Linked DNA regions of Mus musculus. The protein of the gene in region 1 interacts with the protein of each later gene in a pairwise test. Links are inferred from orthologs where the notes say so. Each region holds a gene or a part of one and is shown on either strand. Other genes may lie near its edges. The genes, in order: Itsn2, Larp6 and Synj2.

The links.
Region 2: the proteins of Itsn2 (region 1) and Larp6 interact in a two-hybrid assay, tested with the Homo sapiens proteins (2 studies listed by BioGRID, with this or other methods). The link is inferred for Mus musculus from reciprocal best matches to the Homo sapiens genes ITSN2 and LARP6.
Region 3: the proteins of Itsn2 (region 1) and Synj2 interact in a two-hybrid assay, tested with the Homo sapiens proteins (2 studies listed by BioGRID and IntAct). The link is inferred for Mus musculus from reciprocal best matches to the Homo sapiens genes ITSN2 and SYNJ2.

What each region holds. Positions count from the first base shown.
Region 1 is NC_000078.6:4,630,958-4,634,606, forward strand, and holds part of Itsn2 (intersectin-2), read left to right. Parts: intron 1-1,416; coding exon 1,417-1,480; intron 1,481-1,978; coding exon 1,979-2,116; intron 2,117-2,519; coding exon 2,520-2,605; intron 2,606-3,577; coding exon 3,578-3,649.
Region 2 is NC_000075.6:60,733,563-60,737,211, reverse strand, and holds part of Larp6 (la-related protein 6), read right to left. Parts: intron 223-3,649; coding exon 1-222. UniProt on the Homo sapiens protein: Regulates the coordinated translation of type I collagen alpha-1 and alpha-2 mRNAs, CO1A1 and CO1A2. Stabilizes mRNAs through high-affinity binding of a stem-loop structure in their 5' UTR.
Region 3 is NC_000083.6:5,939,911-5,944,228, reverse strand, and holds the start of Synj2 (synaptojanin-2), read right to left. Parts: upstream 2,950-4,318; 5' UTR 2,779-2,949; coding exon 2,652-2,778; intron 1-2,651. UniProt on the Homo sapiens protein: Inositol 5-phosphatase which may be involved in distinct membrane trafficking and signal transduction pathways. May mediate the inhibitory effect of Rac1 on endocytosis.

The DNA.
Region 1 (3,649 bases):
ATTCTTATGCCAAGTTAAGTGCAAGAGGTATACACCCCACTTTTCAGAAAAGCATCTCTCAGAAAGATTAGACTTAATCTTGTAAGCTTTGAAGTGAATGAAAACCCCAAACCACATGTGTGGTAATGGTAGCAATTAGCCTTGACTCTCCTTGAGAGAAAGCACATTTTCTCTGCTTGCCTTTTTCATGACTCACTAATTTTTTTCTTATAAAGGACAACATTTAATTGGGGCTGGCTTACAGGTTCAGAGATTCAGTCCATTGACATCAAGGAGGGAGCATGGCAGCATCCAGGCAGGCATGGTGCAGGAGAAGCTGAGAGTTCTACATCTCCATCCAAAGGCAGCTCTTGGAAGATTGACTTCCAGGCAGTTAGTATAGGGTCTTAAAGCCCACACCTACAGTGACACACCTACTCAAACAAGACCACAACTCCAAATAGTGCCATTCCTTGGGCCAAGCATATACAAACCATCACATTCTATTCCCTGGCTCCTATAGGCGTGTTCAAACATATGAGTGTTTGGTGGCCATACTTAAACATAGCATAATGCAAAATAAATTTAGTCCAACTCCCAAAGTCCCCACCATGGCTCACTCTTTATGCTTTAACTCACATGTCTATAGGACATTTCAGTTCAGTTTAGAATATTATATAAACTTACAGAGGAGGATAATGTGTTATATGGTCATATACAAGATGTATATTTGTAATAGGCAAGTATGTTGCATCTCCTAACTTTCACATTCCCACAGCATACATAGGGCAAAGTGATTGATGGATAAAGGAAAAGGGGTCAGGAAAGACTTGGAGATTTCTGTCTGGAGTCATGCTGAGGACAGTGATGCAAGTTATAGAGAAGAGAGAGCAATTTGGAGTGAAAATTGGAGAGAGGAACACGATAGACACAGGATTCTTTTCTTTTGAGATGCCCGTGAAACATAGTTTGGTTGGACATAGGAGTATGAATATGGAGGTGCGGTTTGGGCTGCAGGCGCAGGGCATCAGGCTTTAGATGCTTGTTGAAAACAGAGAGAAAGCATGTTCAGGAGTCACAGGAGGAACTGCAGCCTCTATAGATCACGTAGGAAGAGAGAAGTGAAGAGTGTGAGGGAAGGGGTGTTGGGGGGAGGTCACGGCTGGAGAGCCTTTCTTCTCCATGCCTGGCCTGAGACTTGCCCTTGCTCTCAGAGCTGAGTGGAGCTTTCCTGCTGGAGGACCGTGGAGCAACACTCCCTCCTCACTAGCTCTAGGCTCTGCTGTCTGGAGCAGGACTGTGATCACTGCAGAAAGCCCACTACCTGGCCCCTGGTACAAACAATGATGGCAAATGTTCCGAGAAAGCTGCAACATTGTCTGCATGACTTAACAGAGACTAAAGTCGTTTCTTTTTATGCCTTTCTCACTCCATCAGGTTTTCAAGCTAGAAATGCCCTTCTTCAGTCAAATCTCTCTCAAACTCAGCTAGCTACTATTTGGTGAGTGTGCTCATCAGTGACTTCAAACTATACATCGTCTCTTATAAGAAATCTTTGTGGAAGATTGTTTCTGAAAGATCAAACATAAAATCATTGTTTCTGTAAAAATTTGTTACTTGAGAATATTCCATGAAAGTGTTTGAAAGTTACATTAACTAGGGAAGTGTCCATTTTTGAGAGCTTAACCTTGATTTTATAAGCAACAGTGTAGCTTTCTTCTTTATTGACTTACTTTGCAATCCAGAGATTATCTCATTTATTCCAGTGAATTGAACATGAACTATGATAGCCAACCTTCCCAGAATAGGCATTTGCTATGATGAGTCACTCTCTTCTGTTTGTTTTGGGCTATGGAGATTAAGGGTAAAAATTGACTCTTTTTTGGGTATGTGTTTACATTTTCCTAAAATATATTAACCTAGAATTTATCCTCTCATTACTCATAAAAATAAAAGTCAGTAAAAACTCTGACTTTGTGAACGGTCACATTGCCTTTAGGACTCTGGCTGACATCGATGGTGACGGACAGTTGAAAGCTGAAGAATTTATTCTGGCGATGCACCTCACTGACATGGCCAAAGCTGGACAGCCACTACCACTGACGTTGCCTCCCGAGCTTGTCCCTCCATCTTTCAGGTCTGTGTCTGCAGAGCCATGGCCCGCATCACCCCGGTGTTGTTCCTGCCTCACTGGAGCCCATGCATCGGTTTAGAGGAGAGCTACATACTTGCTCTGTCCTTTAGTTAATGAGTCACGATGGGAAGTAGATAACAGAAAGGGTTTTTTCACCATGCTATAAAAGAGGAAAAGTTTAACTGAGAAGATTAAGTAAGGCTTGCCCAGGAACAGCAGTTAGCTGAGTCTGGGTCTCTGGTTAACATCCAAGAGCTTTGTGCTTTGTAACTGAGGGCCATGCTGCAGTGTAAATAGCCTTAATGCTGTACCTTAAATACGAACTTGTTTTAATTGCTGATAATCTGTATTTTTTAGTCTGAAAATTCTCAGACTGTGATGGCTCTTTGTTGTTTGTTCTTCTTAGAGGGGGAAAGCAAGTTGATTCTGTTAATGGAACTCTGCCTTCATATCAGAAAACACAAGAAGAAGAGCCTCAGAAGAAACTGCCAGGTATTAATTTTACACTTTTAATTAATTTATTTTAAAATCAAAATCAGTTGTATTTTCTTTAAATTTTATTTTTGAAATACAAACACATATTTAGAGTATTTATAGATTTAAAAATTAGATGCCACATGAAAATAGGGAATGAATAAGATTTGTGTGCATGTGTGTCTATGTGTGTATTACTGGGGATTGAACCCATAGACCTATGTAACATCACCAGCTCACTGGGATATCTTAACTGATTTATACATTTTAATGAAGAGTAAAACTGAAAATGATGAAGGAAGAGGGAGCATGTATATGTTTGGAAAATTAGCATTTCTTCCACACTAGGGAGAGGCAGATCAAGCTTTGTAATGAAATCTTTAGCTTGAAAAAAGTTTTAAATATTCACTTAAAGAATGCACACATGATTATTTTATTTAGAAGTTAGTGCAAAGACTAGGGTTATAGCTCAACAGTAGAATGTTTAGCCAGTACTAAGTTTGCTCTCCAGCACTGCAAACCAAACCAAACCAAACCAAACCCCACCTTCTTCAGAGCTAATGACATGTAACAGATGGCACACAACCTCTGAGAAAAGTAAGTCAGGGTTTGTATTGGCTTGGATAGTCAGTGTTTGAATAGAATCAAATGTAGAAAATTGCAGGGTTTTAAGTGAATACTTTTACTTTCCTATTTACATTTGAGTATAGAAGTATCCGCAGGGGAAATAGCCAGAGAGCAAGAGCAGAAGCCGTCGCAAGTGACTACTAAGCAGAGTGTATTGAACTAGATGAGAGGCTCTGTAGGCTTGAGAGAAAGCATAGTCTCTCTCTCTCTCTCTCTCTCCCTCCCTCTCTCCCTCTCTCTCCTTCTCTCCCTCTCTCCCTCTCCTCCTCTCTCTCTCTCCTCCCTCCCTCCCTCCCTCCCTCCCTCCCTCCCTCCCTCCCTCCCTCCCTCCCTCCCTCCCTCCCTCCTTTTGTCTCCTTTTAGTTACTTTTGAGGACAAACGGAAAGCCAACTATGAACGAGGAAACATGGAGCTGGAGAAGCGACGCCAAGTGT
Region 2 (3,649 bases), on another chromosome or scaffold:
CTCCTGCACCCTTCCGTTCTTCTGGGGTGTGGCCAGGGCCCAGAGCTTAGGGGACAGGTGTAGGTCATAGACCAGCAGCATCTTGCTGGGGAGGTTCTCATTGGGGAACAGTGGCACAGGGGTGGTCCTCCTAACCTTCCGGTGGTCCTCGTTCAACTCCAGGGTGACTGAATACTTCAAGGCGTGTGCTGTGGTCCTCCAGTCCCGGGTGAGGTGTTTCACCTGAGGAACACAAAGCAGATCTGAATGGTATCTCCTCTCCTTGTCCACACTTGAACACGCAGTATCCTCCCTCCCTCCCTCCCTCCCTTCCTCACCTCTTCAGCACTGATGACTAAGCTCATCCCTGGTGTGGAAGACACTCAAATACCAGACAGAGAATGAAATGAAAAATTTCTCCAACCACTTCTTCAATGCTTTCTTTCCTTAAAGTTCTTTAACGTAAACTTTATTATGAAGATTGCAAAAAGAATTACAAACTGAAATTAGCCAGATCCCAAGTCTATGTATCTCAGTGAAGAGCTAGAATAGCCATTCTGAAGCTGTGACGTTTCACACTGAGTCTTCCAGCTTCAATATCAATTGAATTTTATGCAGTTACCCATCACCCAAAATGAAAACAATCCACAACAGAGTTAGTACTGGAAAGATTTTAGATTCTCTCTCTAATGCATGCCCGTCACCTGCACCTCAGTCTCTCCTCCTCCTAACACTCAGCTCTTCTCGCTCTCTTTTCTACACATTATCCTGCACTCACACGTGCATTTGTTTACATATACACATATGCTATTGGCTAGGTTCTGCATATGAGAAAGTGCTTTGCTTTCTGAGATCATGTGACTTCACTGAGCATTATGCATTCTAAGTCCATCCATTTTCCTGCAGATTTTGTGATTACATTTCTCTGTAGAGCTGAGTAGTAGTCACATACACATATGGTATATATAGGATATATTATATATTTCATAAATTTCATGCATATATGATCTTTCATTATCCATTCATCTGTTGATGGACAACCTGGGTTGATTCCAAGTCTTTGTTAGAGAGACTAAAACAATAGGAACAATAGCCTTGGTTTCTCTTCAGATGGTAAACATCTTTGCCTCTTTTTTGTTTGTTTGTTTTGTTTTATTTGTACATTTTGACAGCACTGGGAATTAACCTAGGGCATCGTGCACAGAAGGTAAGCACTCTACCAATGAGCTACAGCCTCAAACTCTGCCCAAGTTCACGGGTCAGATTCTGTAGTCCTAAAACAGTGGTTCTCAGCCTTCCTAATGTGAGACCCTTTAGTACATACAGTTCCTCGTGTTGTGGTAAGTCCCCAACTATAAAATTATTTCATGGCTACTTCATAACTATAATTTTGCTACTGCTATGAATCATAATGTGAGTATCTGATATGTAGGATGTCTGATATGCGATCCCCAAAGGGGTCATGACCCACAGGTTGAGAACTTCTGCTCTAAAAGTAGGCTGTTAAGTGCATAGACCCAAGTGTCACCTCCATCCCCCAGGAAGACTTGGATAATTATTTAGTCTCTCAGAACCCAGCCTTGTCTGGGTGCTAGAACTATTGAACCTGTCTACTTCATAGCACTGCAACAAGATGTAGCGAGGGTTTGGGGAGGTGGCTCAGTCGGAAAAGTGCTTGTCACACATGCACAAGGACCTCCAGTTCAACCCCCAGACCCCATGTGAAGAAGCCAGGCAGGATGGCTTGTGCCTGTAATCTCAGCAATGGGGAAGCAGAGACAGGCATTCTGGCCAGCCAGCCTTGACTACTTGGCTAGTTCTAGGCCAGGGAGGGACTCCGCTCAAAAGAACCAAGATGGTGGGCTTCTGAGAAATGCTTAAGCTTGATCTCTAGCTACTACATAAGTGCAGTGTGTGTGTGTGTGTGTGTGTGTGTGTGTGTGTGTGGTGTATGTGCAAAAAAATATAGAATACTCAATAACATTGTGCTATCACTGTTGCAAATGTATATGTCACAGTGAATTTGGGGCAGACCCGAGGACAGAATGTAGAATATCAGGCAAGCAGTCTTCCATGAGCTACAACCCCAGTCCAGATTTTTGTTTGTTTGTTTGTTGTTTTTGGTTTTGTTCATTTTGTTTTGAGATAGGCTTTTGCTCTATAGTCCAGGCTGGACTCAAACTCATGATCTCTCCAGTCTAGGCCTCCAAAGGCAGAGACTGTAGAGTGTCACCACTGAATGTGCTACTACTAAGGAAGGAGTTAGAGGATCTCACATTCTCCACTGCTGTGATTCACAGCAAAGAGGAGCCTTCCAAGGACCCTCCGTTTCTCTGTAATCTCTCCCAAGAGTCACAGGCACAGACACCACATGAAGAGGGGCTGGAGAGATAGCTCAGCGGTTAAGAGCACTGGCTGCTCTTCCAGAGGTCCTGAGTTCAATTCCCAGCAACCACATGGTGGCTCACAACCATCTGTAATGGGATCTGATGCCCTCTTCTGATGTGTCTGAAGACAGTAACAGTGTACACATATACATAAAATAAATAAATTTTTAAAAATCCCCTCCCATGATGGAAACTGCAAACAGACACTGCAGTATATGAAAAGCTATATTTATTTTATAAAACGGCAATTTTGCGGAGGCCCACTTCCAGTGAAGGATGTGCCAGGGACATGAGTCATCTCAAGAACTACTAGATATGGGTGGGGTGGGTAACCTGAGCCTGCAAGGGAAAATCACCCAGAGTCCTCTGAGGCTGGGCCCATGAGACTGATCTGCAGAGGAGCCAGGAACCCCCAGTGTGCCCAGGCCTCAAACAGAAAAGGCACAGAAAGCAAGATGGGAAAGCCTGCTACCCAGGCAGGTCAGGGAAACATCCAAAGAGCCCAGAGTCCTGACACACTGCTGGGAGTGTGTGCTCTGCCCATTCTAGTCTTGGCCTCTCATTCTTAGCATGAAGAAACCCCAGGACACCTACACAGAGTGATAGGACTAATCACTATGATACAGAGAAACAGGCCTGGGTAGATGGTTGGATTTCTAGTGAACAGTCAGCTAGCCAAAAATACAGAAGGGGTTGAGATGAATTTTGGTCACTGTAAACCACACGGTTTGTTGGAAAACCATGGCCTGATATGACAGAGCCACACCTTTCCTGCACGGCTCAGAAAGGAGCATGCAGGAGATGGCTGGAATCGGAGCAGGAAGCCTCTGGTGCCTTACTGGGAAGGGTAAGGACCGGGGAGGGCTATAGAGGACTGGAGAACACACAGAGGCAAGAGCCAGATCTCCTAAGAACCACTCCCTGGGCACTCCAGGTCTGTGTTTGTGATCTTTATGATGGTTTTCAGGTATCAGCCCAGAAAAGGAACAAGGGGACTAGAGAGATGGCCCAGTGGTTACTAGCACTAGTTGCTCTTGTAGGGGACTTGAATTTAATTCCCAGCACCCACATGATGGCTCCCAATAGTCTGTAACTCCAGTTGCAGGGGATCTGACGCCCTCTTCTGGACTTTGAGGGAACTGCATGCCCATGGTACATATACATACACTAACACACACATAAACTAAAATAAATTTTAAAAAATAAACAAGGGGGTTTGGCTTTGTGCAGCCTCCAGAACTTTATAAGGTCGTCAGGAACTCTATGGGGTGACTAACCATAAT
Region 3 (4,318 bases), on another chromosome or scaffold:
GGCTTTCTTTCTTTCTTTCTTTTTTTTTTTTTCAAAGCCAGTGCTTTTATATTTAAATTTATGCTTCTCAGGCACACAAGTGGTATTACTAACACAATATTAGTATTTTTCATTCTTAAGCATAACATATGGATATTTTCTTTTTTTTTTTTAATTAGGTATTTTCCTCATTTACATTTTCAATGCTATCCCAAAGGTCCCCCATACCCACCCCCCCAATCCCCTACCCACCCACTCCCCCTTTTTGGCCCTGGCGTTCCCCTGTACTGGGACATATAAAGTTTGCAAGTCCAATGGGCCTCTCTTTGCAGTGATGGCCGACTAGGCCATCTTTTGATACATATGCAGTTAAAGACAAGAGCTCCCGGGTACTGGTTAATTCATATTGTTGTTCCACCTATAGGGTTGCAGTTCCCTTTAGCTCCTTGGGTAATTTCTCTAGCTCCTCCATTAGGGGCCGTGTGACCCATCCAATAACTGACTGTGATCATCCACTTCTGTGTTTGCTAGGCCCCGGCCAGCTTTATTTCTTGGGGAAAAAGAAAGGTCAAGGAAAAGAAAGTAACTCGGCTATCTGGCGCTGGGAAGAGGTGGCGATTTCAAGTTCAGAGTTATTCCACCCAACAATGAGGCATTTAGGATGTTTTAAAAGTACAAAGCAATGACTTTCCTTTCTAGTAACAAAGGCTCTCTTGTAATCCTCTCTCAGCATTATCAGCAAGGGCTACAATTTCTTTAAAAAAAAAAAAAAAGAAATAAAAAGTTTCATTTTGTTGACCATGGAAAACAAACCCAAAACTGCAAGTAATCCATCCAGTGGTCTACTGAAAGCAGACAGTTAGGTGGGAGATAGAAGTGTAGAACAGGAGAGGAGGGTTAGAACGTGACAGTTCTTTTCATGACAACTTCTGCTGTAATCCAAAGTACTGCATCATTGCTACCATGTAAACACATAGTGGCCCAAACTCAACTGCCTGATGGGAGACACCTGTTCCAAGTGGCTTCAAAACCACTCTCACTGGGGTATAAATATGGCTTGGCATTGCTGAGAGGCATTCTAACCTCTTTGAAGTCACAGTAACTTTGTATCATGAAATTTAATCTTTGGGTTCTGAGAAATGTGTTATGGAGTAAATGACTAAAATGGAGTGGAAATTTCCATGGTTTTCTTTCAAGGCTGCAACAAATGACCAAGTTTGGACTTTTCAGGACAGAACTCCAACTGCAATAATGTGATAATTATTCCACGACTGTCTACTTTTGACACAGAATCCTCCTTCCCTAATCAAGTGACTGACAGCAAGCCAGATATTTGCTGTTTCCCTTTTCTGTGTCTGTATTTGGCCAGCATGTTTTGAGGTCTGGTTAGGTTGTCCAATCTGGTATGAAACTCTGGGGCTTAATCCATCTTCCCATTGATCCTCCCGCCTTGCATAGCCAGAACGTGGGCTGTATTCCACCACACCCAGCTTGATAAATTACACATTAATGGCATGGTCCAGGAAGTAGAAATTGATGCACCCCCTTTAAGACATGGTGTATGTACGCACAAATATGTGGATGTCGTAGCTTGAGCTGACACATCCAAACCTGAGAAAAGGAGTCATAAAACACTTTACAAATGAGTGCTTTGCATTTCTTACCTCCTAAAATATAAGTGATCCTGTTTAGCTAGGAACACCAGGAGGATGGACAACTGGACACCCACTGTCTTAAACCTGCCCTTCAAGGCTCATCATTAAAATCTTACTGATCCTATCTGACTGCTGGCTTTATGCTACCTAGATCTTCTTGCAAATGTCAATTACAAAACTAGGGATCCGGAAGTTGGACTTACCAGGAAGGCATGCACCGCATGACATCACCAAAATAGCCACACACAAGTCTGTGTTGCCTGGAGCAAGTGTCTTAGCCTCTTTAGGCCCCAGTTTGTTTATCTTTATTACGAGCTAAAACTGCAAAGGTTGTGTAAGATTTTGTCTCTAAAGTCCTTAGCACAATGCTGATCTCACAATTTCTGAAGTCAATCAATGAAATACAATGGCTTGCCCTCACCTAACACCCAGCATAAAGATAAAGTCACTAGAGAGTATATTTGCTTCTACTCCTGCTTCTGATGGAGTATTTATAGGAGACAAATGAAGGGTGCCATCGACGTTTCTCAAAGTCTGTTTTGGTGCCTACGTGTCATCCCTTCAGGCAAGGCAATGCTGCTTTGGTGTATTCAACAGGTGCACAAGCATGGGAGCACTAGGTGGACTCCTCCTCAGGGCACCCTCCTCAGAGTGTCCAGAACATGCTAGGTTTCGGCACTGAGCACCAGGAGCGGAAATCAGAGCCAGTTGGCTCTCCAAGAACAGACGCCTGCCACCCAAGCCCCAGGAAGAGCGCCCCCGAGACATCCCCGCCCTCAGGCGAGCGCGACGCTTAGTCCAGCCAAATGTGCCAGCTCTCTGGTGTCCCCCGCACCCAGTACTCCCGCGGACAAGCGCCCCTGGCCATCCCCAAGCCGCCGGGGTCCTCCCTGTCGGGGAACCGAGCGCCCCTAGTTCTCAGGTCTCCGCGAAGTCGCTCGCCTTCACTAATTCCCGCCCTCCCTCCCTCCCCGGCGTTGCTGCCCAAGTGGGGAGCACGGGGAGCGCGGCACTCACCCAGCGTGGCCACTGCGCCGGCCTCGAAGAGCAGGCAGTCGCCGCGGCCCCGCGCCTCCAACAGCACGCTGCTCGGGCCAGTGGGGTCCAGCCGCGCCAGCAGCCGCAGCCCTTTGCTTAGAGCCATGGGCGCGGGGAGCAGAGGAGAGCGGGGACCAGGTCCCGCCCGAGGGTGTGCGGCTACCAGGAGTTTCACTTTGTGCCGGGCTCCAGTGCCCACGGCTCCTCCTCCTCCTCCTCCTCCTCCTCCTCCTCCTCCTCCTCCTCCTCCTCCTCCTCCTCCTCCTCCTCCTCCTCCTCCTCCTCCTCCTCCTCCTCCCCTAACACCACGACAGCCTCCTCCTCCTCCTCCTTTCTCCTCCACCCCCTCCTCCCCCTCCCTCCCTCCCTCCTCCTCCTCCGCCCGGGCCCCGCCGCACTGCCCCGAGCAGGTGAGGTGGCGCTGCCGCCCAGCCTCTCCGACGACGACCGCGCTCCCCCAAGCGGCGAGGCAGGCACCTGCGAGCCACAGCGGGAACCCAGACTGCGCCCGGTGGGCTTGAGCTCGCCAGGGCTCAGTACTCCGGGACGGTCCTCCCTGCTGGGGGCGGCTGCGGGCGAAGGAGATTCCACACATTCCTCGCCGCGGAGGAGGCTGCAGCCGCGGAGAGCCTCAGGAGCCCGGACCCTGCCCGGATTCCCGCGGCCTTATATGGGTAGCTGGGGGCTGAGGGCTGAGCAGGGCTGGCAACCCCCCACCCCACCCCTGCCGCCACCGCTTGTCCGGCGCAGCACTTCTTCCCACGCCCACCCCACCCCCACGCCTGAGACCCCGGATGGGGCCATTGGGTTCTGTGCCTCAGTCTCCCTGAATGGAACTGCAGAAACGCAAAGTGGCCTTCACTCTGAAACTACCGTGGTGATTGAGTATGTTCTTGTGAGTGGTGTGTGTGTGTGTGTGTGTGTGTGTGTGTGTGTGTGTGTGTGCCTGACACACTCTTTAAATGCTGCCTTCTACCGAAGACTTTAATTCACTGTGCGACCCAAACTGGTGTTGCGTTGTGTCCGAGAGATGAGACATCTATTCCCTGCTATCCCCTTTACCACATGACCTTGACCTCGCTGAGATGCACATGGCCTCGCCTATCAGAGTGACAGGTGAGGAACCCCCACCTGAGGATCTCAGTGCCTGTTCTTGCTCAGCATTGATGAGTATTCTGTGATCTGCAACCTTCAAGCAACTCGAGGCAAGGCCTCTTGGTCCTTGGGTCGGGTTGGTCAGGATTGGTCTGCTAGCCAAGGGAGAACGCAGCCAGGTCGAACTGGAAGCACCTTTGGGCGCGTTTGGAGCATCCTTTCCTAGTGTGATGCCTCTAGAGGTCCTCACCCGCAAGTTTCCAGCAGGCCACCCTAACAGCTGGGTTCCTCTGCCGCCCGCCCGCCCCATTCTGCTGTGCTAAGACCAAGAGTGGCGCATGGCTTTCGGAGGTTGGTTCTCCACAGCTTCTTTATACAGTGGAGAGATCACCACCCCATGCAAGTCGTGTAACATTAAGTGTAGCAAACTCGGCTGGGCAGGGTGGCCGGCACCTTTAATCCTAGCACTAGGGAGGCAGAGACAGGCAAAATTTTATTCTTTATAGAAACAAAGTCACCCTCAACCACCTTCCCTTTTCTGTATCCAAACA